7 linked regions of the Danio rerio genome follow. The main gene of each other region encodes a partner of the protein of the gene in region 5 in a complex. Links are inferred from orthologs where the notes say so. Each region holds a gene or a part of one and is shown on either strand. Other genes may lie near its edges. The genes, in order: ppil2, lsm8, sf3b2, sart1, snrpd1, lsm7 and cwc22.

Evidence for each region.
Region 1: snrpd1 (region 5) and ppil2 share a complex: the UniProt entries of both Homo sapiens proteins name them as parts of the minor spliceosome. The link is inferred for Danio rerio from reciprocal best matches to the Homo sapiens genes SNRPD1 and PPIL2.
Region 2: snrpd1 (region 5) and lsm8 share a complex: the UniProt entries of both Homo sapiens proteins name them as parts of the U4/U6-U5 tri-snRNP complex. The link is inferred for Danio rerio from reciprocal best matches to the Homo sapiens genes SNRPD1 and LSM8.
Region 3: snrpd1 (region 5) and sf3b2 share a complex: the UniProt entries of both Homo sapiens proteins name them as parts of the minor spliceosome. The link is inferred for Danio rerio from reciprocal best matches to the Homo sapiens genes SNRPD1 and SF3B2.
Region 4: snrpd1 (region 5) and sart1 share a complex: the UniProt entries of both Homo sapiens proteins name them as parts of the U4/U6-U5 tri-snRNP complex. The link is inferred for Danio rerio from reciprocal best matches to the Homo sapiens genes SNRPD1 and SART1.
Region 6: snrpd1 (region 5) and lsm7 share a complex: the UniProt entries of both Homo sapiens proteins name them as parts of the U4/U6-U5 tri-snRNP complex. The link is inferred for Danio rerio from reciprocal best matches to the Homo sapiens genes SNRPD1 and LSM7.
Region 7: snrpd1 (region 5) and cwc22 share a complex: the UniProt entries of both Homo sapiens proteins name them as parts of the minor spliceosome. The link is inferred for Danio rerio from reciprocal best matches to the Homo sapiens genes SNRPD1 and CWC22.

The regions. Positions count from the first base shown.
Region 1 is NC_133180.1:13,584,862-13,589,042, reverse strand, and holds the start of ppil2 (RING-type E3 ubiquitin-protein ligase PPIL2), read right to left. Parts: upstream 2,981-4,181; 5' UTR 2,873-2,980; coding exon 2,841-2,872; intron 2,536-2,840; coding exon 2,486-2,535; intron 1-2,485. UniProt on the Homo sapiens protein: Has a ubiquitin-protein ligase activity acting as an E3 ubiquitin protein ligase or as an ubiquitin-ubiquitin ligase promoting elongation of ubiquitin chains on substrates.
Region 2 is NC_133179.1:10,099,499-10,103,876, reverse strand, and holds lsm8 (LSM8 homolog, U6 small nuclear RNA associated), read right to left. Parts: upstream 2,915-4,378; 5' UTR 2,755-2,914; coding exon 2,724-2,754; intron 1,234-2,723; coding exon 1,193-1,233; intron 861-1,192; coding exon 733-860; intron 618-732; coding exon 527-617; 3' UTR 352-526; downstream 1-351. UniProt on the Homo sapiens protein: Plays a role in pre-mRNA splicing as component of the U4/U6-U5 tri-snRNP complex that is involved in spliceosome assembly, and as component of the precatalytic spliceosome (spliceosome B complex).
Region 3 is NC_133182.1:6,520,114-6,523,809, reverse strand, and holds part of sf3b2 (splicing factor 3B subunit 2), read right to left. Parts: intron 471-3,696; coding exon 348-470; intron 273-347; coding exon 192-272; intron 1-191. UniProt on the Homo sapiens protein: Component of the 17S U2 SnRNP complex of the spliceosome, a large ribonucleoprotein complex that removes introns from transcribed pre-mRNAs.
Region 4 is NC_133196.1:30,343,721-30,347,942, reverse strand, and holds the start of sart1 (U4/U6.U5 tri-snRNP-associated protein 1), read right to left. Parts: upstream 2,810-4,222; 5' UTR 2,583-2,809; coding exon of another isoform or gene 2,327-2,582; intron 734-2,326; coding exon of another isoform or gene 679-733; intron 576-678; coding exon of another isoform or gene 520-575; intron 1-519. UniProt on the Homo sapiens protein: Plays a role in mRNA splicing as a component of the U4/U6-U5 tri-snRNP, one of the building blocks of the spliceosome. May also bind to DNA.
Region 5 is NC_133194.1:2,233,036-2,237,246, forward strand, and holds the start of snrpd1 (small nuclear ribonucleoprotein Sm D1), read left to right. Parts: upstream 1-1,222; 5' UTR 1,223-1,366; coding exon 1,367-1,380; intron 1,381-1,970; coding exon 1,971-2,047; intron 2,048-4,211. UniProt on the Homo sapiens protein: Plays a role in pre-mRNA splicing as a core component of the spliceosomal U1, U2, U4 and U5 small nuclear ribonucleoproteins (snRNPs), the building blocks of the spliceosome.
Region 6 is NC_133197.1:10,400,987-10,405,356, reverse strand, and holds the start of lsm7 (U6 snRNA-associated Sm-like protein LSm7), read right to left. Parts: upstream 2,952-4,370; 5' UTR 2,937-2,951; coding exon 2,931-2,936; intron 2,689-2,930; coding exon 2,598-2,688; intron 2,495-2,597; coding exon 2,423-2,494; intron 115-2,422; coding exon 1-114. Other genes in the region: sass6 (spindle assembly abnormal protein 6 homolog), read left to right, coding at 3,310-3,374, 3,525-3,585, 3,675-3,754, 3,874-3,978. UniProt on the Homo sapiens protein: Plays a role in pre-mRNA splicing as component of the U4/U6-U5 tri-snRNP complex that is involved in spliceosome assembly, and as component of the precatalytic spliceosome (spliceosome B complex).
Region 7 is NC_133184.1:45,378,489-45,382,714, forward strand, and holds the start of cwc22 (pre-mRNA-splicing factor CWC22 homolog), read right to left. Parts: upstream 2,866-4,226; 5' UTR 2,835-2,865; coding exon 2,772-2,834; exon of another isoform or gene 2,626-2,771; intron 1-2,625. UniProt on the Homo sapiens protein: Required for pre-mRNA splicing as component of the spliceosome. As a component of the minor spliceosome, involved in the splicing of U12-type introns in pre-mRNAs. Promotes exon-junction complex (EJC) assembly.

The sequences.
Region 1 (4,181 bases), on a different chromosome or scaffold from region 5:
AACAATCTATTTAGTTTAAATTTATATTTCACTCATTCATTCATTTTCTTTTCGGCCAAGTCCCTTTATTAATCTGGGGTCGCCCACAGGAGAACATGCAAACTCCCAGAGAAATGCCAACTGACCCAGCAAAGGCTTGAACCAGCAACCTTCTTGCTGTAAGGCAATTGTGCTACCCACTGCACCACCGTGACGCCAAATTTATATTCATTTCTATGTAAAACTTATGTAGATAATGCTTACAACCACACTAATAATGTGAGAATGTGATTGGCCAAGGACAGAATAGAAGTCAAGACAACTAACCTATATTCTAACCTATAAGTATACAGATATCTGTTTTCCATAGGTGCGTCCCAAATCGCATACTTACGCACTATTCTACGCCATTTTGTAGTATAAATAGTGCAAGTAGTGTGTTCACACTGAAAACTCTATAAATAATAAGTGCATTTTAATACCAGGATGATGCACTCGTTCAACTATTACAATGAAGTGTGGAATGTTGGACACTTCACGCACTCAACAATCTCAGATTTGCTCACATAGCGGAAGGAGCATTGGTATAGGGTGCACATGTTGGATTACTTTATTTATTTTGAATTGTGAAAGCAAAATTATCCTACAAGAGTGATTATAGCGCCTCCCGAAGGTGAATGCGGTTATCCTTGCATATATTATCTGGTCCTTTGGTCATTTATTTTACTAATATGGCAACCATCAAACGTCATCAGGGAAATGGTTTGAATTTCCGTTTAGCAAAATAACAGTTAGTGTTCCATTTGGGACGACAATACATACATATACTATGCTGTTGAGTGTGTTAGTGCAGGGGTTCCCAAACTTTTCAGCCCGCGACCCCCAAAATGAGAATGCCAGTGACTCGTGACCCCCAATATTCTCTGAGGTGGTGGTTATAAATACAGAAACCTTGTATGCAATGACGCACACACACCAATAGACCCAAGTCTATTCTTTGTTTTTTTTATGTATGTCAGTGCTGTAAATGGGTTAGAAAGTTTAACCTGGTGTTCCAAAATCTGCTGCATCTGACAGTATTGCTGTGTCTTTAGTATAATGTAATTACTCAAGAAGACGCAATCCAATAGAACTAGTAACTATAAGCTACTATAGTAACTATATAGTTTATAGTAACTATAAACAACTATTTTTTTCTCATCAGTAGGTTATTGATAAAATACAGTTAGTCTTAAGGTTTAATAAAAATTAATTGATTTTTGAAAATCAACAGGCAACCCCCATTCATTGTCCCGCGACCCCTCGGGGGGTCCCGACCCCCACTTTGAGAACCTCTGTGTTAGTGCATAAGTACATAGTGCTTAATGTATAGCGTGCCATTTGGGACGCAGCTCATGACTTTTACAAAACTTTGTGGGTTTTCCTTTTTTTCCAGGCCTGGAAAATGTCAAGTCAAAATTCAATGATTTTTCTAGGTTTTCCATGACCGTATGAACCCTGTACAGTGCTCAGCATAAATGAGTATAACCTCCTTTTGAAAATGTATATTTTTATCCACGTCTTAGAAAATACAGCCAATAATCTTGGTGCATTTAAACAAAATATTTTTATCCATTAAAATAAAAGTTTGGATACCTAGTGCCTTTAACAATAAAAAGATAATATATTTAAATTCAAACAAGTTATTGCAATATATATATATTTATACAACAGTTGTCTGGTTCTTGAATCTGATTGGCTAATAGCCGTGATATATTTAAGTAATTTCAGCACCAGTAAAGCCTCTTTACCTCTTTTTTTTGTGTATTACTCCGCCCACATACAACCAGCAAAAAAGCAGACACTACAGATCTAAAGTTTAAAAGATGCTTGCTCAGCTGTTTAGCTATCAGCTTATGATTTGAATCCAAGGTGGAAGAAAGTAGTTCCTCATACAAAAGGGTTTTTGAGAATCTCCATGTTTGATTTTGTTTTTATATACACAATTATGCCGTTAAACTGTTGTATAAACGCAATATCACACTCGTAGCAGTGCGATATGGCTGTATATCGGCACTGGCGGGGGCACTAAGGCACTCGGCCTCATGCCAACGCACATCTCCCACCAGATATACAGCCATATCACACTGCTATATATATATATATATATATATATATATATATATATATATATATATATATATATATATATATATATATATATATAGACCCACTAGAAAAATGACAACTGTTTTGTGTTTTATTATTTTTTTATTGAATAATTTTCCCAAACATAATTGTTACTGACTATATGCATAAATATATTTACGCTAAATGATATAACACTATTTCTATTTCACCAATATGTGAAATTATATTCAAATAGACACTTTTCTTGCATTTCAAATGTTTTCTATGTAACTTATAAGTTATATTTAATTTGATAAAGAAACAAAAATGGTACGTCCTACAGTCCCAAAAGCTTGACATGACTTGAAGTAACGTTACATCAGGTTAACGCAAATACCTGCTTTCTTCCCTCCATAAAACTGGGTGTATTCTGTAGATGTAATGTACCTGAAAAACAGAGTATTGAATAAATCATTTGAAAGCTGTATAAAGAGTATAACGTCGTCATTTACATATTTGCATTCTTTAGATAATTCATGTTACGTCGCTGAATCTAATACATGAACATTAATCAAAATGCCGTCGTTGCAGCTGAATGAAGAACGACTTACTGTCCCAAAATTAAAATTAAAACATTACAAACCCTAAATAATACAAACAACGCAAACAGTTAAAGAAGCGTACTCAGTTTTCAGTGAAATAATAAAATTCAACCGTTAGCAAACGTGTCATATTTCACTCCAGCAACTCACATCTTGTCTTTTTGATGCTGTCTTTTCCCCATTTTTGCGACCTAAGCGGTGGTGCTAAATAAAAGAATTAAAATTCAGGAGTTTATAAACAAGCAACACAAACGCACGACTGTTTAAATACTCTACTTCCGGTGTGTCCTAGGCGCGACCGGTAAATGCAACCGACCTAAAACAACAAAATGTTTTTTGGTCCTCTTCGGTTTTGACTGAGATACTGTTCATAAAATTCGTTTTTTAATTACTGTAAATTATGTCTATGCTCAACTTGGGATGTCTGAATAATACTCAATAATGAGGGGGATATTTAAAGTGTTTGATGTTTGTTGATCACAAAATAAAAAAAACATGAAACCTATGAATTCATTCATTCATTCATTTTCTTTTCGGCTTAACTTAGTCCCTTTATTAATCAGGGGTCACCACAACGGAATGACCCGCTAACTTAACCAGCATATGTTTACGTATGTTGTATCCTTTCAGCTGCAACCCAGTACTGGCAAACATCCATACACACTCATTCACACACACTCACACTGCGGCCAATTTAGTTTATTCAATTCACCTATAGCTATGTCTTTGGACTGTGGGGGAAACCGGAGCACCTGGAGGAAACCCACACCAACATGAGGAGTACATGCAAATGCCACAAACGTCAACTCGAACCAGCGACCCTTTTGCTGTGATGCAACAGAGCTACCAACTGCGCCACCGCGCGGCCTACATATAAACTAATTCATTTCATCTATCCCGTGAAACAAGTTGTTAAAAACGTTTTAGACATGCAATCTGCATGTTCTTTTTGTGAATTAGAGGAATTGCTGAAACACCTGAATACTCATTGAATGCACATATTCCCAAATGTTTTGGTTTGATGTTAAATATGTTATATTTAAACGTACAAAATTAAAAATGCAGTTTTCTTGTAAAGATGTTTTTGACATACAATAATAATAATAAAACTTTGGAGCAAATTTTGTTTATTAATTTAATGATTATACAGTGCTCAACATATAGGCTACACCCCTCACAAATCACTCTATTAAATTCATATTTTTAATAGGAAGCTATATAATATTATATTTGTGCATATACATTAGATTAGTCAGTACTGAAGCCAAATCTGGAGCTTATCTAAATAACTTATGATGACGGTCAAAAAACCGAGTACAGTCAAATGTATATGTTAGAGAAAAATATTAAATATAAGTTTAAAAAAGAGGAAAAATCAAGAGAAGCAAAAAAATAAAATGAAAAATTTAGTTGAAATTTTGTAAGTTGTACATTTTTCACAATATTTTGCTTGAATTTAATTGTATTATTTTTCAATTTTTAAATATGTTT
Region 2 (4,378 bases), on a different chromosome or scaffold from region 5:
TACTACATTTAAATAACTGTTACAAATTATTTATAATAATATACACTTATATTAATGTCTTTTTTCGTCATTTTTACGATACTGCAATGAGCTTTTCTTTGTGGGAAATAAGCTAAATCGTCATGAATGCAATAAAACAAAATGGGCTTTAAATGCTTTTCAATTTCTTCATGTAATACGGAAATTTCTTTTGACTTTTGGGTGATAAAATAGGCATTTTGGAGATGGACCTAATCTTACTTTTACTGTTAATTTATTACTTTTTTTGTTTTTGACTGAGAATTATCCAGAAAATGGATACTTACCAATATTTTCCCCTTTATACAAGTTTTTAAAAAATTTAAAATCTTGATTTATCACTTTTTGTTTTATTATTTCAACACCCGTAAAAAACAAAACAAACAAAAAACAAATATGCATTCAGTCTTTTTCAAGATTAAAAAAGCAGGTAATATTGCTGCTTATAGATGCCTGCAGATTTCCTAGGGAAAGTTTTCAACTGGATCAAAATGAAATTTTCTGTCCATCAATGCACCACAGAATTGAGTGGTTCTGCTCTTATGTTTCCAAGATCCAGCGCAGAATCGGTTTCTTCATCAATCTCACCGATCACAGCCCTTAAACACAAAATAATTTCCCATTTATGTCAACCAAATAAAAGAAAAAAATCATAAACCTTGCACTGTTCTGCACAACATAAACATAATTACAAGAAAGGAGTTTAATACTCACACATTATCTCCTCTGACAATATACAGTCCCAGAACCACCTGCTCGACCCCCTGTGAAGAGCTGAAGACCCGCTCGTGGCTTTCATCCAGGATGAGGTTGATTGCCTGATCAAAGCCTTTTAGCGTCCCCTAAAAACAGCACAAGTCAGTAAGCGATCTTCTTCATTTCTGCACACAGACAATGATTAATTGGTAAGTTCACCAAAAAACACAGATTTTAATATTAATTTATTCACACTCAGGCTATTCACAATCTAGGGGACTTTTCTCCTCAGTTAAACATAAAAGACATTTAAACAAAACAAAAATACAAATGAAAAATATGTGTCGGAGCTGTGAGTTACAAGTGATAATGTTTAGATTTTCCTAATACAGTCAAACACTCCCAAAGTGTCTTTGACTTGCACTTTATTAAACACAAAGGTGGATAACTCCCTTTAAAGTACACGAGGAAGACTCACCACGATCATTCTGCCATCCGAAGTGACAATAGCAACAGTCCCTTGAAAAAAATCACAGTCAAGGAAATTTCAAGCTCATTTTATGTATGCATGGTCACTCACTGCGTTTATTTGTTCTCTGGATTTGTGTTTATATAGTACACATAATGTGTGTTCAAAATCTCTATTAAGTATTTTATTCATTGACTGATTCATATTCTCTATCTATCTATCTATCTATCTATCTATCTATCTATCTATCTATCTATCTATCTATCTATCTATCTATCTATCTATCTATCTATCTACATGAATACAAATGGTCATGGTCAAGAAATTAAAACTTTTCTAGATTGTTTTACATATATAGATTATATTTATATACAGATTAACATGAATACGAACAATCAAATATACTTATTTTTTACGAAATATTTAAGAAATGAAAATGTTTCTAGATTGTTTTACATTTCTAAATTATATTTATTTATAGATTAACATGAATAAAAACAGTCAAATATGCTTACTTTTAACCAAAAATTAAGAAAAGTTTTCTAGATTGTTTTACATATATGTATTTTATCTATAGATTAACAAATTCAAACAGTCAAATAAACTTATTTTTACCGCAATTTTAAGAAATTAAAACGTTTCTAGGTTGTTTTACATAGATTATATTTATATATAGATTAACATAAATACAAAGGGTCATATATAATTACTTTTAACTAAAATTGAACAAATGAAAACTTTTTTTAGATTGTTGGATTGCATCTATATGTAGACTAACATAAATGCAAATGGTCAAATATACTTAATTTTATGCAAAATTTAAGAAATAAAAACTTTTCTACATTGTTTTACATATATGGATTACATCTATAAATAGATTAACATAAATAAAAATAATCAAATATACTTATTTTTACGAAATATTTCAGAAATTAAAACCTTTGTAGATTGTTTTGCATTTATAAATTAGATTATATGTATTTATAGATTAACATGAATGCAAACGGTCAAATATACTTATATCCAAAATGTAAATTTTTTTTTTTACTTTTCTAGATTGTTTTACATACATAAATTATATCTATATAGATTAACATGAATACAAACAGTCAAATATACTTATTTCTACCCGATATGCAAGATGTGAACACATTAATATGTAATATTTACAGTAAATAGTAATATTCCAGTTATATGATATGTCTTAATTAAATATTTGAAGACTCGTTTTCATTGGTCCAGAAAAAAAAACTCAAATATTTGACAAAAAACAGGCATCTATGAAGTTAATATCACATCCAGATAACCGATAATCATCTTGAACTGATCTATTTTGCTCAAGAAATGTATGTGCGTACATTAATATGCTATAACGTGAATTATAACGACGTATGATCATCAAAAGCTAATTCACTTGCTGGCGCGCCATATATATAAAGTTAGACATTTCACGCTCAAACACACACAATCAACAACAAAACACGGGGTATCGATCAACAACATCACCGCCGTGCTGTTCACGATGCGTATTAAAGGATACGGTGAATGTAACTCTCGAGAGCGGTGGACATCTTTTCTGCTGGTGCGTGTTTTTAAATCCTCCGGTGCTCGTTCGCTAGCTCCTACAACGAAAAGCATTCGTTCTTGAGCCGGAAGCGATAACGGAGAGACTCGAGTAGGCGATGACCGATTGAGCACAACTTCAGGCAGAACTAATGGAGTTGGAGCAACGAAAGCTGTCATGAGTGAATTAGTATTTATTTAATAAGCTTTAAATAACTAGTACGCGACAATAGAACACACATTTTAATGCCAGGGATGATAGAAGATAAATATAGTAAGAGTACAAATAATTAAACATTAATTAAGAAGCAAAACAAACACACGTACATAAAAATAAGCGTATAAATAATTAAATAGATTTCTTACAATTACACACGTTTACATCAATCAAAACTGTTAAAAATAGACCACAAATGGACAGTGCTAATGAAGTTAATTTTATAGTTTAAACAAATTAATGTGAAGTTTAGCCGTCGTGAGGGAGTGATGCGGTATTTGTCCAGCAGATGACGCGCTCTGGAGATTTCTGGTTTCTAAGGAAGAGAGCACAATACTGTTTCTAACGAGTAACTTTAGAGATTATAATCAGTTCTTGCTGAAAAGGCTAACTGTTTGAGGGTCAAAGTGGGGGTCGATGGAAACACTGGTGGTAATGATGACGACGGCACTTACACAAAAGTACAATCAATGGTTGTGGGATGATTTCAGACGCTAATTGTAATTGTACATCGCCATTATGGGAATTAATGCTGATTGAACTATATAAAAGTGCTGTAGTGGTTAAAAATAGTTGTTATACGGTGTTTTGCTACACACTAGCATGGAAAAAATAATTAAAACTTGTTAATATTCGTAAGGTACTGAATGTTTAATAAATTTGATGGAATTGTATGGTGGTTCTGGAATTACGTTGCTATTACATCAGAATCAGGGACTGACCTAACCAATGATGTAATGTAATGTGTATTTATATTATAGATCTTACACCAAAAGCGGTTCACAATCATGAGGGGGGTCTCTCCACACCACCACCAGTGTGCAGCATCACTTGATGATGCGACGGCAGCCACAGGACCACAGTGCCAGTGCGGACACCACACACCAGGTATTGGTGGAGAGACAGTGATAGAGCCAATTCGGTGGATGGGGATGATTGGGAGGCCAGGCCATGATGGGTAAGGGCCAATGGAGGGAATATGGCCAGGACACTAGGGTTACACCCCTACTCTTTACGAGAAGTGCCATGGGATTTTTATTGACCACAGAGAATCAAGACCTGGGTTTAACTTCTCATCTGAAAGATGAAGCAAGCAACCGCTTAGGACCCCAAGAAATTTGGGGGCCCTCAATAATTGCCCACACTGTAAAACGTTTCACATTGGTTAAACTTACAAACTCAAGTTCAGCAGCTGCCTTGAAAATGTGAGGCAACAACTTAGAGAGATTCTTTGTTTCAATGTAAGATGTTGAGTTTTAGTTAAATATATTGTAAAACTCAACATCTTAAGAATCTCTCCAAGTTGAGTTGACTCACATTTTCAAGGCAGCTGCTGAACTTGAGTTTGTAAGTTTAACCAAGTGAAACGTTTTTACAGAAGCGTAAATCATATTTTGAATGGTGATGGTGTAATA
Region 3 (3,696 bases), on a different chromosome or scaffold from region 5:
TGGTTAAACCTCTTTTTGATTAAGGATTTTTAATTTTAATTCGTAAGTTATGTCCTTGATGTCCGAGACCAGGATTGTAACTTACCTTTAAAAGCTGATCATAATCACACACTGTAGCTGAACAACTGCCTTTAAACCCCTTATAAAAGTGATTTTTGCATAGTAGGTGCCCTTTAAAGTAGTTAAATTACCTGTTTGAGTTCAGCCACAGTCAACCTGTTCATCCTCCTGAGCTTCTTTTTAGACAGCTTGGGTAAGTCCTTCTTGATTTCCTGTCAAACAGGAAGTGGAGGAGTTAGACAGGATTATTATTAGACCATAAGACATCTACATGTCCTTCCACTGACCTCATCACTGTCGTCGCTGTCCCTCTTCTCCAGCTCGAACCCCTTCTTCTTAAAGGACAGGATTTCAGGCTTTTCAGGCTTCTCCGGCTCCTTTTCCTTCTCCTTTTTCACATCATCTGTCAGCTGTGAGAAACAAAAACCTGTTCAATGCCCATATCCATCACAATATGACTCGCAACAACATTTCCCAGTTTTAAACATCAGCGCAGGTGAATCTGGTTGGATGTCGTGCTGTGATGGAGGAGCATGAATCACGCAGTGGATCGAAGATCTAAATGCAACTCCAAACCCACACGTTGAAAAGTGAGATATTAATATCCAGTGTTATTTTGTCATTTAATAATAAGGGTTATTTATTAATAAAGGGTGCACTGAGCAATATTTGAGAAACACTTTTGACCACAGTGCAGAACGAGTCACACTCGTAATCAGCAGCAAGGGGCGTGTAAAGTAACTAAAGTAGAGATATTAAAAAGGGGTAGAGGCATGACATGTCCAAAATGTTAATATAGCGAGACACATGTCCAACAACTTAATATAGTGGGCCACATGTCTAAAATGATAATATAGTGGGCCACATGTCTAAAATGTTAATATAGTGGGCCACATGTCCAAAATGTTAATATAGTGGGCCACTTATCCAAAATGTTAATATAGTGGGCCACATGTCTAAAATGTTAATATAGTGGGCCACTTATCCAAAATGTTAATATAGTGGGCCACATGTCTAAAATGTTAATATAGTGGGCCACATGTCTAAAATGTTAATATAGTGGGCCACATTTCTAAAATGTTAATATAGTGGGCCACATGTCCAAAATGTTAATATAGTGGGCCACTTATCCAAAATGTTAATATAGTGGGCCACATGTCTAAAATGTTAATATAGTGGGCCACATTTCCAAAATGTTAATATAGTGGGCCACTTATCCAAAATGTTAATATAGTGGGCCACATTTCCAAAATGTTAATATAGTGAGCCACATGTCTAAAATGTTAATATAGTGGGCCACATGTCTAAAATGTTAATATAGTGGGCCACTTATCCAAAATGTTAATATAGTGGGCCACATGTCTAAAATGTTAATATAGTGGGCCACTTATCCAAAATGTTAATATAGTGGGCCACATGTCTAAAATGTTAATATAGTGGGCCACATGTCTAAAATGTTAATATAGTGGGCCACATGTCTAAAATGTTAATATAGTGGGCCACTTATCCAAAATGTTAATATAGTGGGCCACATGTCTAAAATGTTAATATAGTGGGCCACATTTCCAAAATGTTAATATAGTGGGCCACTTGTCCAAAATGTTAATATAGTGGGCCACATTTCCAAAATGTTAATATAGTGGGCCACTTGTCCAAAATGTTAATATAGTGGGCCACATTTCCAAAATGTTAATATAGTGGGCCACTTGTCCAAAATGTTAATATAGTGGGCCACATTTCCAAAATGTTAATATAGTGGGCCACATGTCTAAAATGTTAATATAGTGGGCCACTTATCCAAAATGTTAATATAGTGGGCCACATGTCTAAAATGTTAATATAGTGGGCCACTTATCCAAAATGTTAATATAGTGGGCCACATGTCTAAAATGTTATTATAGTGGGCCACATGTCTAAAATGTTAATATAGTGGGCCACATGTCCAAAATGTTAATATAGTGGGCCACATGTGCAAAACTTCATTATAGTGGGTCACGTGTCCATAAAGTTATTTATTATAGCAGGCCACATGTGCAAAACTTAATATAGTGGGCCACGTGTCCAAAAGGATATTATAGTGGGCCACGTGTCCAAAAAGATATTATAGTGGGCCATGGTCCAACAACTTAATATAGTGGGCCACGTGTCCAAAAAGATATTATAGTGGGCCACGTGTCCAAAAGGTTATAGTGGACCACATGTGCAAAACTTTATTGAAGCGGGCCATATGTCTATAAAGATATAGAGGGCCACATATCCAAAAAGTGATTATAGTGGGTCATTTGTTCAAAAAGTCATTATAGTGGGCCACATATCAAAAAAGTGATTACAGTGCACCATGTGTCCAAAAAGCTTTTTATAGTGGGCCACATGTCCAAAAAGTTATTATAGTGGGCAACATGTCCAAAAAGTTATTATAGTGGACCACATGTCCAAAAAGTTATTATAGTGGACCAAAAGTCCAAAATGTTAATATAGTGGGCCACATGTCCAAAATGTTAATATAGTGGGCCACATGTCCAAAATGTTAATATAGTGGGCCACATGTCCAAAATGTTAATATAGTGGGCCACATGTGCAAAAAGTTATTATAGTGGACCACAAGTCCAAAATGTTAATATAGTGGGCCACATGTCCAAAATGTTAATATAGTGGGCCACATGTCCAAAATGTTAATATAGTGGGCCACATGTGCAAAACTTGATTATAGTGGGTCACATGTCCAAAAAGTTATTATAGTGGACCACATGTGCAAAAAGTGATTATAGTGGGCCACAGTTCCAAAAAGTGATTATAGTGGGCCACAGTTCCAAAAAGTAATTATAGTGGGCCACATGTCCAAAAAGTTATTATAGTGGGCCACATGTCCAAAAAGTAATTATAGTGGGCCACATGTCCAAAAAGTAATTATAGTGGACCACATGTGCAAAAAGTTATTATAGTGGGTCACATGTCCAAAAAGTTATTATAGTGGGCCACATGTCCAAAAAGTAATTATAGTGGGCCACATGTCCAAAAAGTAATTATAGTGGACCACATGTGCAAAAAGTTATTATAGTGGGTCACATGTCCAAAAAGTTATTATAGTGGACCACATGTGCAAAAAGTGATTATAGTGGGCCACATATCCAAAAAGTTATTATAGTGGGCCACATGTCCAAAAAGTTATTATAGTGGGCCACATGTCCAAAAAGTAATTATAGTGGATCACATGTGCAAAAAGTTATTATAGTGGGTCACATGTCCAAAAAGTTATTATAGTGGACCACATGTGCAAAAAGTTATTATAGTGGACCACATGTGCAAAAAGTTATTATAGTGGGCCACATGTCCAAAAAGTGATTATAGTGGGCCACATGTCCAAAAAGTGATTATAGTGGGCCACATATCAAAAAAGGCGTTACAGTGCACCATGTGTCCAAAAAGTTATTATAGTGGGCAAGATTTCCAAAAAGTTATTGGTGTTAACTTTTAAGTTCAAATTTAGGTAGATTGAACACAAAACAAATTGTCCCAGACATTTGTCATTTTAGCTAATTTTAAATAAGTAAACAAATCAATTTAATTACAGTGAAGATGCTTAAAGCAGTTTGTTTCATTTGTATATTTTTATTCTACTGTAATTTAATAATTGTA
Region 4 (4,222 bases), on a different chromosome or scaffold from region 5:
ATGAAGTTGAGATTCTAAACTGTTCCTCCCCGACTTGTGTATAAGATAGAATTAAAACAGGTTCTTGCCATGAATATAGATGCTAGAATGGTGTTAAAAGTATAAATGTTGCATATGTATATTTTTTGCAATAGATTTTTGTAAAAATTAGAGATTTTTCTTTTTTATCAAAAATATTTTGAGCATTAAGTAAAGCTCATGCTAAAGTTTCCTACTGTAAATCTATAAAACATAATTTTTGATAAGTAATACGGATCGTTAATTTGGAAAACTTTAAGGTCAGTGTGTCAGTATATCTGTCAGGTCAGTTTATTTTTGGAACCCTCGTATAATAGCCAAATATTGTCCCATCACCCTATCAAATCATAGATCAATGAAAGGCTTAAATATTTATTCAAACTGTCACTATTTGTCAATTTAATAAAATCAATGAAACAATCAATTATTACTATCAAAATAGAAAATAAACATCAGTGTATACAAAAAAACATTTGACTGAATGTTAATGTTTATTCTTACCTTTCTTGTTTTCATTGAGATCGAGGGGTTTCAAACCAAGTTTGGCTCTCAGCTTACTGCAAAGCAATGAGTAATGGCATTCAGCAACGTACATTTGCATATACATGTACAAGTATTGCATTGGAACTTTCATTATAAAAATACCCAACTAATACATACTTGGTCTCTTCAATGCTGAGTGAAGCATCACCACTTGCAGATTTAGGACCTGGCTCTGCAAGACAAAACGCTGACATCAGTATCACTCAATGCAAACACATCTATCAAAGAATTAAAGGGATAGTTCACCTAAATATTATAATATACTCAAGTCATTCCAAACCTTTAGGAGTTTCTTTTATTTCTGTTGGAACTCAAAAGCAGATATTTTAAAGAACGTTTGAAACCATTAAAAGTAACCACCATAGTAGGAAAAACAGGTGAGGCAGTGGCACAGTAGGTAGTGCTGTCGCCTAAATGCAAGAAGGTCGCTGGTTCAAGCCTCGGCTGGGTCAGTTGGCATTTCTGTGTGAAGTTTGCATGTTCTCCCTGCGCTCGCGTGGGTTTCCTCCGGGTGCTCCAGTTTACCCCATAGTCCAAAGACATGCAGTACAGGTTACTTGGGTAGGCTAAATTGTCCATAGTATATGTGTGTGAATAAGTGTGTGGATGTTTTCCAGAGATGGGTTGCGGCTGGAAGAGCATCCGCTGTGTAAAAATGTGCTGGATAAGTTGGTGGTTCATTTCGCTGTGGCGACCCTGGATTAATAAAGGGACTAAGCCGAAAAGAAAATGAATGAAGCTGGAAAAACAAATGCTATGGAAGTAAATAACTGCTGGTTTCCAACTTTTTTCCAAAATATCTCAAGTTGTGTTTAACAAAACATAAAGAAACTCTTTTGTAAAAAGTGAATTTTTATAGTTTATTCATATTTTTCTTACTATGAACTCAACTGTTAGTTTATAGCTTTCTTCAAAATATATTGTTTGTGTTTAATTGAAGAAAGAAACTCATAAAGGTTTGTACTGTATCTACTTGAGGGTGAGCAAACTCATAGAGGTAAAGTTGGTTTTATATCCGCACATTCGTTCGTTTGGAAGTCCCTATATTGTTTACTATGTTACTTTGAATATTCGATCGGAATTAGCATGCAAGTATGACTTCTAAACAACATTAACACTATCTAATTCACTGTGAACAATATTGTACTTTGATGGTCATTTGCTGCTAATATGATTTCCCTATTTAGAATTTGCAAAGAATACTTTTCTGAAATTATATTATTAAGGAGAAAGTCTAAATATACGAATATAAAACCAACTTTACCTCTAGAGCAAACTCTTCATATTTGCATGAACCATCTCTTTTATGTTACTTTAAAAATGGCCTATGAATGTAATACAGCATATTACTTTTCCAAGTAACTTTAGCCAACACTGACAATAACTATAGTCTTCAGTAAAGTGTTATATAAGATAGTATGCTGGAGAAACAAAAATTGTGTCATTTTAATGTTTATTTTGCTTACATTAAATCAGCACCGTTTTACAGGTAGTTTGGCACTGGCTGGACAGGAAGACCAGGACTTTCTCCTTCATAACAATTTCAGAAAAGCATTCTTTACAAATTCTAAATAGGGAAATTACATTAGTAGTCAATGACTATCAAAGTACAACATTGTTCACAGTCATTTAAATAGTGCTAATGTTTGAAGTCATGCTCGCATGCCATTTAAGAGCGAATATTTAAAGTACAATATAGGCACTGTGTCACAAATAAACGAATGTGCGAATATAAAAACAGCTATACTGAATTAGGAAGACTGACCGCTGTTGTCCTCGAAAGCAGGATCAAGCTTCTCCTTCTTGACTCTGGGCTCCGCGCTGCTCTTCTCGGATTTGCCACTTCGGTCTTTCTCCGCTCCCCGACTGCTTCTATCCCTGGAGCGAGACCTCTTTCTCTTCTCTCGGTCCCTGTCCTTCTCCTTATCTCGGTCCTTGTGTTTGTGCTTCTTGTGCTCACGGTGCCGCTCCTCGGGATCCCGGTCCTTCTCCTTTTCCTTGTGTTTCTTTGATGATCCCATGTTGGGTCTGTTTGCGGATTAAATGCTGTTTGTCTAACGTTAAAGCACTTCTGTTTATAATAACTCGACGAACAGGTTAACGTTTACAGAATATTGACTGTACGATTACATCATAGTATCGGGTACAACTTATATTATTTCATTATTTCGTATGTAGTTGAGCAGCAAAATGTAAACACTAACGTTAAGCCAAAGCGACTTGCTCTACTGCAACAACACGATCGTATGATGAACGCGGTGCTGTTCTGATAACGTCCGGGTTAAATGGCATAATGGATTTGCAGCACCACCTAATGGTATGGAGGTTTTGACTTGTGTTCGTAAATATTTTAATTTAATAAAATAATGAATGCTCTCTCTGAGTTACAGAAGAAGAAAATGTAGTTTTGTAGTTTATGAATTTCTCCTATGAAACTATTAGGTTGTATAAGTAACCATGTTTTTGAACATATTGGTTGAATACAGTTTAACTGCAATCACCATAAGCTAATGTGGCGAAACCCTGGTTGATTGGTGATTACTGTGGTTTAATAGCCATGTTTGTTCATTTTTTTTTAGTAATGATTAATTTCTGCAAGACTACTAGCAGCGTGAGATTTAGACCTACAAATCAGGCTTTAGTTGATTATTTTGAACAATCAGATTTTAGAAATGTCACAGGTTCATGCATCTAACAATAAATGAGCAATTTATAAATATTATCATTTTTATTTTTATTACAAATATTTGGTTTTAAAAGCAGGCCTATAGCCAGGGGGGGTTTGGATGATTCAAAAGACCCATGCACGTCCCTACTGACAAAGTCCAGAATTTGGCTGCTATAGGAGCTCATTTGTCCCAGGTTTCCATCATAAATTGTGAAAATAACCAATAGAAGAAGACTTTAAGACAAACTGAATTTTGAATTATTCAAATGGACAAATTCCGACTGAGGATATGAGCTGGCGGGCAGCACGGTGGCGCAGTGCGTAGCACAATTGCCTCACAGCAAGAAGGTTGCTGGTTCGAGACCTGGCTGGGTCAGTTGGCGTTTCTGTGTGGAGTTTGCATGTTCTCCCCTTGTTCACGTGGGTTTCCTCCAGGTGCTCTGGTTTCCCCCACAGTCCAAAGACATGCGGTACAAGTGAACTGAATAAGTTAAATTGACCATAGTGTATGTGAGTGTGTGCAAGAGTGTATGGGTGTTTCCCAGTACTAGGTTGCAGCTGGAAGGGCATCCGCTGTGTAAAACATATGCTAGATAAGTTGGCGGTTTATTGCACTATATGGCGACCTTTGATTAATATAGAGACTAAGCTGAAAAGAAAATGAATGAATAAATAAATGATATGAGCTGGAATAGTTGTTTTTTTTTGCCTATAGTCTACTGTTTCTGATTTAAAACAAGTTTTAAACAGATTCCTAATTGTTTTAGTTTTTTTAAATGATGCATGATAATACATTTGTATTTTAAAATGTTTTCAAGTTTCTTTGTTCCAATCTCATTACATTATTTTTGAAACTGTAATAACTAGTTTAAATGCACATTTGTAAATAAACACTTAATTATGTAATTATAATGTAATTACTTATTTAAAAAGTCCCTATCAACAAAAAAGTAGTTCAGAAATAAATGGATTTTTTTCACACCAATGTATTTA
Region 5 (4,211 bases):
TTATTTACCTTTACTTGAGATATCGCCACGGGGTTGCCAGATATTTTAAAATTGAATCCACAACTGTGCATGAATGTTATTTTTAATAGAGAAAATATAATTACAAAGACAGAAGAAACTTTATATTATATTATAGTATATTATTTATTCATTATCTAAAATAAATAGTATTTTAGAGATTCACTGTAGTATAAAAAATACGTAAAAATTGTTTAAATTTAAAGTTGTATTATACTTTTATTATCTTAAAACGCATCTAAAACTTTAAATTTGATTATTATTGCTGTTTTGGTTAATTAAAAGTATGTTTATATTAACCTATTTACCTTTACCGTGAGATATTGTCACTGTAGGGTTGCCAGATACGTTAAAAATAAATCTATTCCTGTGGTTGTTAAATGCAGCTTTTTTTTTAAACTGGGAAAATATAAATAGAGTAAAGACAGAATAAAGCTTTCATTATATTATAGTATCTTATTTATTCATTATCTACAATAAACAGTATTTTGGAGCTTCACTTTGATATGAAAATGACACTACATGAAAAATTGTCTAAATTTAAAGCTGTATTATACTTTTATTATCTTAAAACACAAGTAAAGCCTTAAATATGGGTATTATTGCTGTTTTGGTTTAATAAAAGTGTGTTTTTATTAACCTATTTACTGTATCGTCACTGTGGGGTTGCCAGATACGTTAAAACTAAATCTATTCCGGTGGATGTTGAATGCTATTTTTTTGAATTAAGAAAATATAATTACAAAGAAAAAAACAGAATAAAGTTAATATTTTATTATAGTATATTTTTATTCATAGTCTAAAATAAATCATATTTTGTAGCTGCGCTGTGATATGGAAAAGATTTAAACATTTATGAAAAAAAAGTGTCAAAATTTAAATCTGTATTATACTTTTATTATCTTAAAACGCAATTGAAGCCTTAAATATGATTAATATTGCTGTTTTGGTTTTTTAAAAGAATGCTTTAAGGAAACTATTTACTGTGAGATTAAATTATTGTTGTTTTGGTTAATTAAAAGTGTATTTTTATTAACCTATGTACCATGAGATATCGAAATTGAAAAATACTTTTAAGCTATTATCATAATAAAAATTGTTGTAGCAACATTTAAAATTTTAAATTCGCTTTTGTATGTTTATAACATGCTTATAAATGAAATTACCAGCGTGTAAAAATATTCCGGTGATTTTGTTGAGTAATGGCAACCCTTCTGTCCTCAGAATTCTGTTTCCCTTTCACCCAGGAAGTGATTGTACCATCTCTCCAGTAGCGTCCTACATTCGTTTTGCGCTACAATTTTTTCTCATCTAGGTGGAGGATTTTCTCTCAAAGTCCACCGCCATCATGAAACTCGTCAGGTAATAAACATCTACAGCTGTCATACAAGTAAAATACACAAAGAAACTTTGCGGATGCGCGATGTATTTTAATAGATGGAGCCGGATTGTGTGTAGCTGCTAGTTAGCCGTTAGCTTCATCAGGCGGGAATGAATGAATGGGCGAGCGTTTGTTTGAACGTTTTACTCATTTGTTTTAAGCACATACGTGTTTTAAACTATGTAATAAGCGGGTTTAGTCTTAGATTATTAATACATTGTGCGTTTTTTGGTGGTAGTTTGATCATGCGGGGTCTTAAATGCAACAAATACATAAACAGAAACAATAACTGTTAATGCTAAGTTAGCTACATTTATTTACTAGTTTCTAAATATGCTAGCTGTATATAATCATATAATTATGTTAATAGACACTATAGTGTGTAGTTAGGAAGTCTAAAGATTATTGGATATATAGTTTATCATTTGTTTTAAATATAGTTATCAGTTTATTATCATTAGTAAGCTGTAAATACTTTATATAATCATATTGACAAAATGCTTTATATGTAGATATTAGACGTTATGTTATTATAATTGTTTATCATTGTTTTTATGATTGTGACCTGCAGGTTTTTGATGAAATTGAGCCATGAAACCGTCACGATTGAGCTGAAGAATGGCACACAGGTCCATGGCACAATTACAGGTAATTATTATTTTAAGTAATGCACCATAATCACATTTATAAACTGTCTGCTATGTGCCTGTTTCATTAAATGAGGTCATATTATGCATTTTCTCTTTGAATCTGATGCATTACATCTCATAGGTGGCCAATAAATGTGCTTATATTGAGGTGAAGTTGGTTTTATATTAGCAGGTTTAGACTTTGGCGTTCTATGAAATAGCAAAGCAGTATTTAAAAAGGTGAATACAGATTCATTATTTTTTACCACGCTGCTTTGAATATTTGATCTGAAATCACATATAAGAATGACTTCAAAACAATATTAGACCGTAAACAATATTGTGCTTTATAGTCATTTGGTGATAATATGATTCCCCTATTTAGTATTTGCAAATAATACTTTTCTGAAATTATATTAAGTCTGAATGTGTGAATATAAAAACAACTTTACCTCAATTACATCTGTCAGCTCCCGGAAAAAATGCATTTAACCTTTTAGCTGAAAATGACTTGACTTAATTGGATTGTTATGCAATACTGTGCACCTTTTATAAAGCTGCTTTGAAACACTAGTCATTGTAAAAAGCGCTATACAAATAAACTTGAATTAAAAAGACTCATTGTATATGCCCTATATTGTGCTAATAATAATAATTAGAAAACTTGTTATACTTTGTTGATGAATTAATGCCACTGAGTCAGACTCGTATTATAATAATCATGTGAGCAGAAAAACAATAGATCATGGTATTGTGTGAAAATTTACATCTTTACTTGTGGAGATTTTCAATTTTTAGACCAGTGATTCCCAAAGTGGGAGTCGGGACCTCCTGGGAGGTCGTGAGTCCTTGAGGGGGGGTTGCTTGGTGATTTCCAATATATACATATAAATAAATTATTAAAATTACCATATTTTATCCATAACCTGCAGAAGATAGTGTTTAATAGTTACATTTAAAACAAAAACATGTACATAAACAGACAGCAGCGTTTACATTATTTTTCCATTGGATTACGACTCCTTGAGTGATTACGCTAGATTAATAACACAGCAATAGTGTTAGTTGCAGCAGATTTATTTTACGGCTCAATGTTAAACTTTGACACATTTACAGCACTCCTGTACATTAAAAATAAAGGCCACGACTGAACATAGAGGACGATCTCCAAGTGGCGGTCTCCGAAATTAAATCAAGAATAGACTTGTGCTGTATATATTTCACAATTCTCATTAAGTGAGGTTAATATTAAATTAAACAAATGAATAGTGACTATAAAATGATATGGTTGATAAACTGCTGCACTTTTGTTGTGTTGTCAATAAGCTTGTTTATATAGTTGCTATTGGTTTGTGTGTGTGCATTATTGTGTACAGTGTTTGTATGCTTATTACTAGGCCCACACTTATTTTGCGCGAGCTGAATTCCGCTGATGTTTAGCCCATCATTAATTCTGTTTATTTACTTGAGTAAATGTGTGTAAATCTATATTAATTCAGTTTTTACATTTATTTCAGTAATATTATTGACTAATATGAAAATGTTCGTCTGACTTATGTACAATGCAGTTTGTACCGTAATATTTTCTGTCTTTTAGTAGAGATATTATATGAGAGACTTGCTTTGTTTACCAAATAATGTGAATCTAATTGGATTAGCATTTTAAACATTAAATAAAAATTATATAAAGATATTTTTTTTTATGTCATATATTAAGGTTTTAGTTATGATACTCCCAAAATAATTCCGCAGATCTTTACCAAAACTCTCCGCAGAAATAGCAAAAAACGCCCGCAGATTCCATCTGGCCCTACTTATAACCACCTCAGAGGATAGTGGGGTTGTGAGTTACTAAAATTGTTATTTTGGGGGTCACGAGTTAAAAAGTTTGGGAACCCCTGATATAGATCATAGCAACTTTTCATTTCTTGCTAGTTGTAATACACAATGTAACTACAGAAGAATCAAGTGAGATGCTAATGGTCTAATCTGATTCAATGATTTATGCTAAGCTAAAAGTGCTCTCACCAGACCCAGAAATCAGCTAAACGGATTCATAAATGGGAAAACTCGCCTGTTTAACTCTCTAAGGAGTTGTAAAATGAGACTGTTTCTTTAAAAAAAGAAGTTGACTATTCCTTTTAAAATTGTTAAACACGCAATGGACCCTTTTCACAGGACTG
Region 6 (4,370 bases), on a different chromosome or scaffold from region 5:
TCGGGATAGCTTCCATCCCATCCTGTGGACAGATGAGCACAACAGACGTCCCTCGACAAACAACCAGACCCAGCTGCCTGGTGTCTTCGGTCAGTTTATACTGGTCATCAGGATCTGTGTGGGAAATAAATGTGGTCAGAAATCATATAAAACCATTGATATAATGATAATAGTCAAACACAGATGTCTTTACTCTTAGGGCGGGGTTTTTTCGTATTTTCGGATGTGTTAACACTTGTAGTTTAGTCAGTTTGTTTGGACCAAACAAAAAAATTATACATAGTCCTAGTTTGTCAAGCTTTCATACTCTGATTTTTGACAGAAAAGCAGCTGCATTTATGACATTCAATTCAGCTTATTCAGCTTTATTTGTATAGCGCTTTTACAATGTAGATTGTGTCAAAGCAGCTTCACATTAATGGTCATAGTAACCGGAACAGTGTAGTTCAGATTTTAGTGTTTAAGTTCAGTTCAGTTCAGTTTAGCTCAGTTCAGTGTGATTTAAAATCATTACTGAGAGTTCAAACACTGAAGAGCAAATTCATCAATGCGTAGCTCTACCAATCCTGAACCATGCGAGCCAGTGGCGACAGCGGAGAGGGGAAAAAAACTTCACCTGATAGGAGTGAAGAAAAAAAACCTTGAGAGAACCAGACTCAGTTGGGCACGACCATTTTAATTTCTCCGCTGACCAAAAGTCATGTGCAGAGCTTCAGTCACCGCGGTGGATTCTGTGACTTTAAATTTTCAAAACAATTCTGTATGTTTAGATACACTTGTTTGCTGTATGTGCATGCACACATTTTTTAATCAGTTAAATACGGTGCCCTAGAGAGGACAAATGCAGTGTAAACATGCAAATAGAAAAACACTTACAAACTGAGAATTAATCGTCATTAGTTTAGTAACGTGAATGCAACTTCCAAAATATGCACATAGAAATGTTTTGGGGGACCTTTGGGGCAGCTTTCTTTTTAGAGACAGTGGTGTTGTCAGCATTTAAAGCTAAAATTATCCAAACACCAGGGAATCATACAACTAGGACGTTAAAGTAAAACACTCAGCTCTTTGACAACACCACCACCTCTAAACAGGAAGCAGAGGGTCGGGTTCATTACATTTTCAGGTCCCCCGACACATTTCGGTGCATATTATCACATTCAGGAATATGTGTCTCAGCTTTCTCAATCTGTGTTTTTCTATTTACCTGTTGTTGTTTTTTTTTTAGTTATAGTTTATCCGAAAACTAACCGTTTCACTACTAGATTTCAGCATTTTTCAAAATATCTTCTTTTGTGTTTAACAGAAGAAAGAAACTCAAAAAGGTTTGAAACATATAAAGGGTGAGTATTCAATGACTAGGCGTGGGACAATAACTGTTTTAAGGTTTATCGCGGTTTGAAAAGTCAAGGTTTTAAAAACGTTAAAATTGTCTGTTATACCGTTCTCAAGGTATTTGTAAGTTTTTTTTTTACGACTATTTTATTGAGTTTTTTTGGGCAACAATAGAAAAGGACCATCCACATCACAAGTTACCATGATTCAGGAAACATCTGAAAAACAAATCTCTTATAAACCAACATCCAGCATGCTGTAGAGCTGAACAGTGTAGATGATTTTTTTTATATCCAAAGAAAAGAAAGATATCCAAAGATGCCTTTTCAAGTTGAAAAGAAATCTGTGCTTTTGAAACTAATTAAGACAGCAGAAGTCAATGACATTCAACAATTAATAAACAATAAATTATTTAGCCTGACATTATAGTTTCAAAATATTTTAAATGTTAAAAAATATAAACCATGTTCAATGGGGGAAAAGTTTTTTTTTTACTCAGACATTTAAAAATAAAATATTTTGGAGCAGTATGTACAATAACATGATATTGTGTAACTGTGATATTTCAACCTAAGGTTATCAACCGTCAGAATCTTATACCAGCCCATGCCTAACAATGACAGTATTCATTTTTTTAGGGTGAACTATTTAACTTCAAGTGCATTTAAACTCTCTCAGAAAACCATATTAAATGTGTCAAACCAACACCAGAATTTCCTCTGGCTCACACACACCCAAATGAAGATCTGCTGAGACTGTTTCTGATGCCTGAACTGAACGGTAAGGAGCAACATTGTTATGCTGACAAAAATAGCTATGCTGGAGCATTCTGCCTTTTTATGTTTAATATCATGGCATCATGTCCTCTTTGGGTTGATTTAGATGCATTTATATATCAGTCAACCCACAAGAGTTTGTATGTTGCTTTATATAATTTATAATTTAATAAATTGATTAATTTTATAATTTAAATTGCAGCATTTACACTAAAATTTGTTCAAAACAAACCACACTAACATTAATACTGTGAGAAATTTAATGCAGAACATAATTTGGTACATATTCGGTTTACATTAGCACATTTTACCTCGCATGTATTCAATGGTGCCGTCCAACACAAGATTCAACAACGGGTCGAAGCCTTTTAAGACGCCACTTGCTGAAAATAGGAAACACTAGTGTCAAATTTACCACAATTCATTTAAATATCATAATGTGAAACATTTAAATTCATAATTAATTTCATAAAGCAACTCCCTCACCTTCGCGACCTCCTTGAAACTTTACACGTATATGTTTGTCGATGTATTTCGACAAATCAAAAATACTCTCCTTCTTTTTCTTGTCTTTGTCCTGAGGATCCAAAAACATATTATATAACAATCTCCAGGCCTCTATAATAAATATCAGACTCGTAGCTTAGCACAAAAATACACCACACATCACATTTACAATTACCAGCACACCCTAATGTGTAACAACATAAATATCAAGAGTGTAGGATATATTCAGGTGCTTATATGTTTGTTTATAACGCCGTTTGTCCTTAAAAGTGTTTATAATGTGAACGGTGTGGAAACGTTTGCGCTACTCACCGCCATGTTCAAAACTCCTCTACGCCCCGCCCACTCCGGGTTCACGTTTGACGTCTACCTCTCGGCCAATCACAACGCGCGCAGGTGAACTCTGATATCAAATGTTTTCAATTTTATCAGCTTTATTCACGCACAACTACACAGTATATACAGCTTTAAATGTTTATATCTATATTATACGATTTATAAAAACAAAAACATGTTGAAATACGATGATACGCGTGATTAGGTTGAAGTGTTTCTCACTTCCGGTTGGAAACGGACAAACGCGGGAGTGAAGCGCGAAAAACAAATGAGTCTTTCAACAACCTAAATAACATCTTTAAAACAGGATTACACGATTTTTAATTATTATCGTTGCTTTGTGAATGAATTAGGAATGACGGAATTACTTTTTAACAAGCGGTTGCAGGTGCTGGTGAAGAGTAAAGATACCGATGAGAGGTTTGTGTTGATTGTCTTGTTTTTGAACACAATGCCTAACTTAAATTGATTTATGGTATGAATTTTGGCTTTATTTTGTCTGTAATTATTAACATTTCGAAGTCTGTAAGGGTCTATATGTGTTTATATATGTTGTTTTTGTTACTACAGGCGTTCGGTTATTCGCGTTAGCATTGAACTGCAGTTACCATCCAGCCCTGTTCACAGAAAGGTTTGTTATTAACATGTGTACAACCATATTTATGCCTTTAAGCATGTTTTATGTGGTCTTATAACTTTTTTTAAATTTTTGATCAACAGGATTTAGTTGTACGGCTGACTGATGATACTGATCTTTACTTTTTATACAACCTTATCATATCAGAGGAGGATTTTCAAAGGTATTGTGGTATTAAAAGTGTCATTTCATCAATGAGCCATATTTATTTTCAACACTTTGCTATTAGGCTTCTATGTGATTATATTCTGTGTAATCGTTTTTATTTGCTCTTCTTCACAGCTTAAAAGTACAACAAGGGCTTTTAATAGACTTCACATCATTCCCACAAAAATTTATAGACTTACTTGAACAGTGCATTTGCGAACAGGACAAAGAAAACCCACGGTAAGAGGTTATAATTCATAATAATGTTCAGATGTTGCAGTTGTTAAAGTGATAGACAGGCTAAAGTCAATAATTACTGATGATTTAGTCAACCTCAGGACAAAAATTTCTTATTGGTTCTTCACTGAGTCAAATATTAATACTGTTTGGTGTTTATTTCAAAAATATAAACTTTTTGAAATGAAACTTATATAAAATTTTATAAATATCTATCTAACTATCTATCTATCTATGGGAAAAAATAAAGAGACCCCTTGAAAACTCTATATTTGTATTTGTCTGTACATGTTTGAAAACATTTCTTTTTTTCTTCTAAATTTCAAATCAAATAATGTCATTTAAGCATTTCTTAATATTAAAAATAATAATAGCAATAAACGGTTTAAGAATTT
Region 7 (4,226 bases), on a different chromosome or scaffold from region 5:
CTGAGCACTAAAGGAATAAATCATTCAGAAACACACTGCATGGCCGACAACAAAAAAAGGATAATATATGAGTAAGGGGAGCGAGAGCAATATCAGCACTTCTACATAAACCTAAAAAAGCTGGACTGGAGTTTCTTTCAGTGCCAATGAAAAGAGTGGCATCATTGCAAATTACAGCAAATAACTAACAGCCAGATCATGATTTAAACCAGCGATGTCCAATTCTGCTCCTGGAGGGTCACACCGTCCTGCAGAGTTTAGCTACAGATAATACACAAGCCTTAATGTTTCTAAGGATCCTGAAGACTTTCACTAGCCGTGTCGGGGATACTGGGAATAAAGAGAAAGCTACCCACAATAGGAATGGTTACGTCTTTAAAATTGTGTCATCTAAACGCTTTTCAATGTGCTGCATCTTAAAGAAAAACATCTTATTCCTGCTGTCGTTGTTCTTAAAGGTGCAGTAGGTGATTGTCTTTAGAAACATTTTTTGCTGTGCTGATTGAAAGTCTCTTTACATTCCAATAGTAATGACTGTAGTAAATGATCTAAATGTATTTATATGTATTTTTCACAGTTTAAGGGAACTACACGCTGGTGAATGTTTGACGCTGGTGAAAGCAATTACTTTGTGCAACTAATGGGTCAAACAATCATCAAAATTATGTCACAGAATGTTTTATTTTATGAGTGAAGTCTTTAATGTGCTTTTAAATCATTTTATTATATTCAAAGCAGCACTTAGATGCGAATTTATCCTGAAAATGTGGCATGAGAGCTATGCATGTCAAGTGTCGGATGATTGCCTTTTTTGGGTGCATTTCTGATCCTTTTGCATAAAGGTTTTAATCAAAAGACAGGTAATTTAATTACTTTCGATGTGCTAAAATTTTTGTTAAACGAATGCTATTTTAAACAAGCGCATGCACATATTAAAACTGTAAAACAGACTTAAGTGCATGGTCTAATCGGAAATAAAGCAAATTAGTTATACATTTCATTATTTAATGCATAAAATAGGCTAGTCTTTTTATAAATTGAGTTTAACTGATTTGAAACTTTTAATTGCATTTTTAGGTCTTGTAAATAATAAAAGTTGCATCAGATTGATGAAAAATGAACCTGAATACCTGCCTGAACAGGGCCACAATTACTTGTTCGTGTCTAAGAAAGTTGTTAACCCCGTTTAGAGAATCATTAAAGGCTGATTTATACTTCTGTGTCAAGCGCACGTATGCTACGGTGCAGCCTACGCGTTGACGCATAGCCCTACGCAATGGCCGTCGCTGACATGCACCTCTCAAAAAAATGTAATTACATGTCGCAGTGACGCGTAGCACAAGATCTGATTGCTCGGCTTGGTAGCGCTGGAGATTCAGGATGGGACCAAGCGGAGCTATTGTTTACAAGTGTAGAGACTCGTGAAGGAGCTCCGGATGGAAAGTTTTGTTTTGTATTTACCTCATGGTTAAAGTTGTTGCACGTCCGTCGGTTCCTGCCTCAAAATGAGTGAGTTTGAGCCACTTGTACATTTAGGAAGCGTTCAGAAAAAACAAAACACTAGTGAAGAACCTCGACACAAAGGAACATTAACACCTGAGTGCCAACTAGCGTTTCGGAAGTGTTATTGCAGAACAACAGAAACAGTGCGCAAAAGTATAAATGCACAGCTACATGCGTTGCATGCACCGTGGGTCACGACGATCACTTCACGCAGAAGTATAAACCAGGCTTTATGGGTGTTTTACATTATACCTAACAAGGTTCAAATGAAGGATCTGCAACAGAGAAACTACGGATTTTGGTAAACATTCATCACTACATCGTTCTTTTCCCAAACGATGTGTCATACTATGATAGTTCAGCCGCAAATAAATAAATAAATGTTCAAAGAGATTAACAGTACATGTTAAAAATATATTTATGTACAAAAACTGTTTTTGTAATTGCAATAGTATTTCATAATGTTACTGTTTTCAAAATAGTTAAAGCCCCAAAAATAGCACAGGTACATAAAAACCATGTTTGGGGAAAAAGACCATAACATACTCTCCTAACTTAGCATAAGGTTTTAAAGGGCACAGCAAAATTATAACAATTTAATGAACGTACAATACAATCTAAGCAGTGAAACAGTTTAATAACAAACTTGTACCAATATTTGGAGTTTAGGCATTACGTTTGCTAATCTTAAACGAAAAATTCAGCCAAGGTCATATATTATTAACACGGACTTTCAATATATTTAATTCACTAACGTATGTATTAAATCAATATGCACAAATGTTTCCTATCATAAACGATACGATGTTGTCTATAGATTTCTCTTTATCTCATTGCTTTTAAAATAGATTTCACTAACGTGATATAAAAATATGGAAATGTCGGCCTACGCAATAAATATGTAACGTTAAACTAGATTTTGATTAACATTAAGTTACTTGTTGAACGGTAATTGGTTTATATTGTTATCGTTTTCGGCCTAATCCCTATCGTAACTTGTCTTTCAAATGTAACTTGAATTTTACAGACACTCAGTGGACTAAATGACAAACATAATAGTTTATCATGGGTTTAAATCAGAGTGTTTATGTTCATAATGTACACAAATGATCTCACACAAACCAAAGCAGCGCCATCTGCTCCACGCGTGCAGGCCCACAACCCGTAAAATCCCACCGGAACACATCCACGAGCCGCTTTAAAACTGCTCAGCGCGGTCAAACAAACATATCGACTTCATAATCTGGAACTAACAGCGAAGTTCTTACCTCATCTCTCGATGTAGGCCCCATATTCATTGCCGTCTGAGATTCGTTTGACTCAGCCGCCATCTTTCCCGCCGTATTCCGGAAGTGATGCTACGGGGCCTCGCGAGGTTCCAAAAGTGTGGAAAAACGCGTTTTTCTTTAGCAGTCAAACTGCAATACTGAACATATGTTGGATGATTATCATCACTGATGGAAAAACAACTATGCGTCAGGAAACAGATGCCTTGATATTATTTTTACATTACATTAATGGCTTGAAGCTAATTTAAGATTCTGTTTAGAACATAGGTAAGAAATGTAAATATAATGATTAATGGGAAAAACAAAGACTACTATATTTTTCCAGGAATCAGAGGTGTACTGTATATTTATGCAAATATTATTTTCAGGAATCACAGCTATACTGTATGTCAGAATTGTTTTAATTAACCATTGATATAGGATTTGCACTTTCACAACCGTACAATAAAATTAATTAAATAATTTTCAACATTATTATTATTCATTCATTTCTTGTCGGCTTAGTCTCTTTATTAATTCGGGGTCACCACAGAGGAATGAACCGCCAACTTATCCTTATTCAGTTTTTACGTCGTGGATGCCCTTCCAGCCGCAACCCATCACTGGGAAACATCCACACTCTCACACACACACACACACACACACACACACACACACACACACACACACACACACACACACACGCAAACACACACGCAAACACACACGCAAACACACACGCAAACAAAAACACACACACACACACACACACACACACACGTTTGTAGCTCATGTTTTTGGACTGTGGGGGAAACCGGAGCACCCAAAAGCAGGGAGAACATGCAAACTCCACACAGAAATGCCAACTGAGCAGAGGATCGAACCAACAACCTAGCGACCTTCTTGCTGTGTCGTGACAGCACTACCTACTGCGCCACTGCGCCGCCCCATTATTATCATTATTATTATTATTAGTTGTAGTAATAGTATAAGTAGTAAATATTAATACTTAACAAATAGAAACAAAAACAGAAAATATCAAACCATTATTTTGGGCATTGGATACAGCAATAAAATGAAATAATATAAAATAAAACTATTGTTAATGAAATGTAAATAAAAATATTTTAATTTTCACAAGATAAATGATTTAATAATTGGTTTGTTTGCTTTTATAATTTAAAACCAAGGTTAAAAAAAAAAACTCATTTTTATTATGCACAAATTTGCACACACTTCTAGAACAAAAACATTTTTTTTTTGGATGAATTTAAGTGCAAAATTCTTTTTTTTTTTTTTTTTTGACATAACACACTCTCAGAAATAAAGGTACGCGAGCTGTCATTGGGGTGGTAACTTTTCAAAAGGTACACATTTGTACTTAAAGGGTCCATATTGGTACCTGAAGAGTATATATTAGTACCTAAAAATATTAAGAGGAACACTTTTGTACTT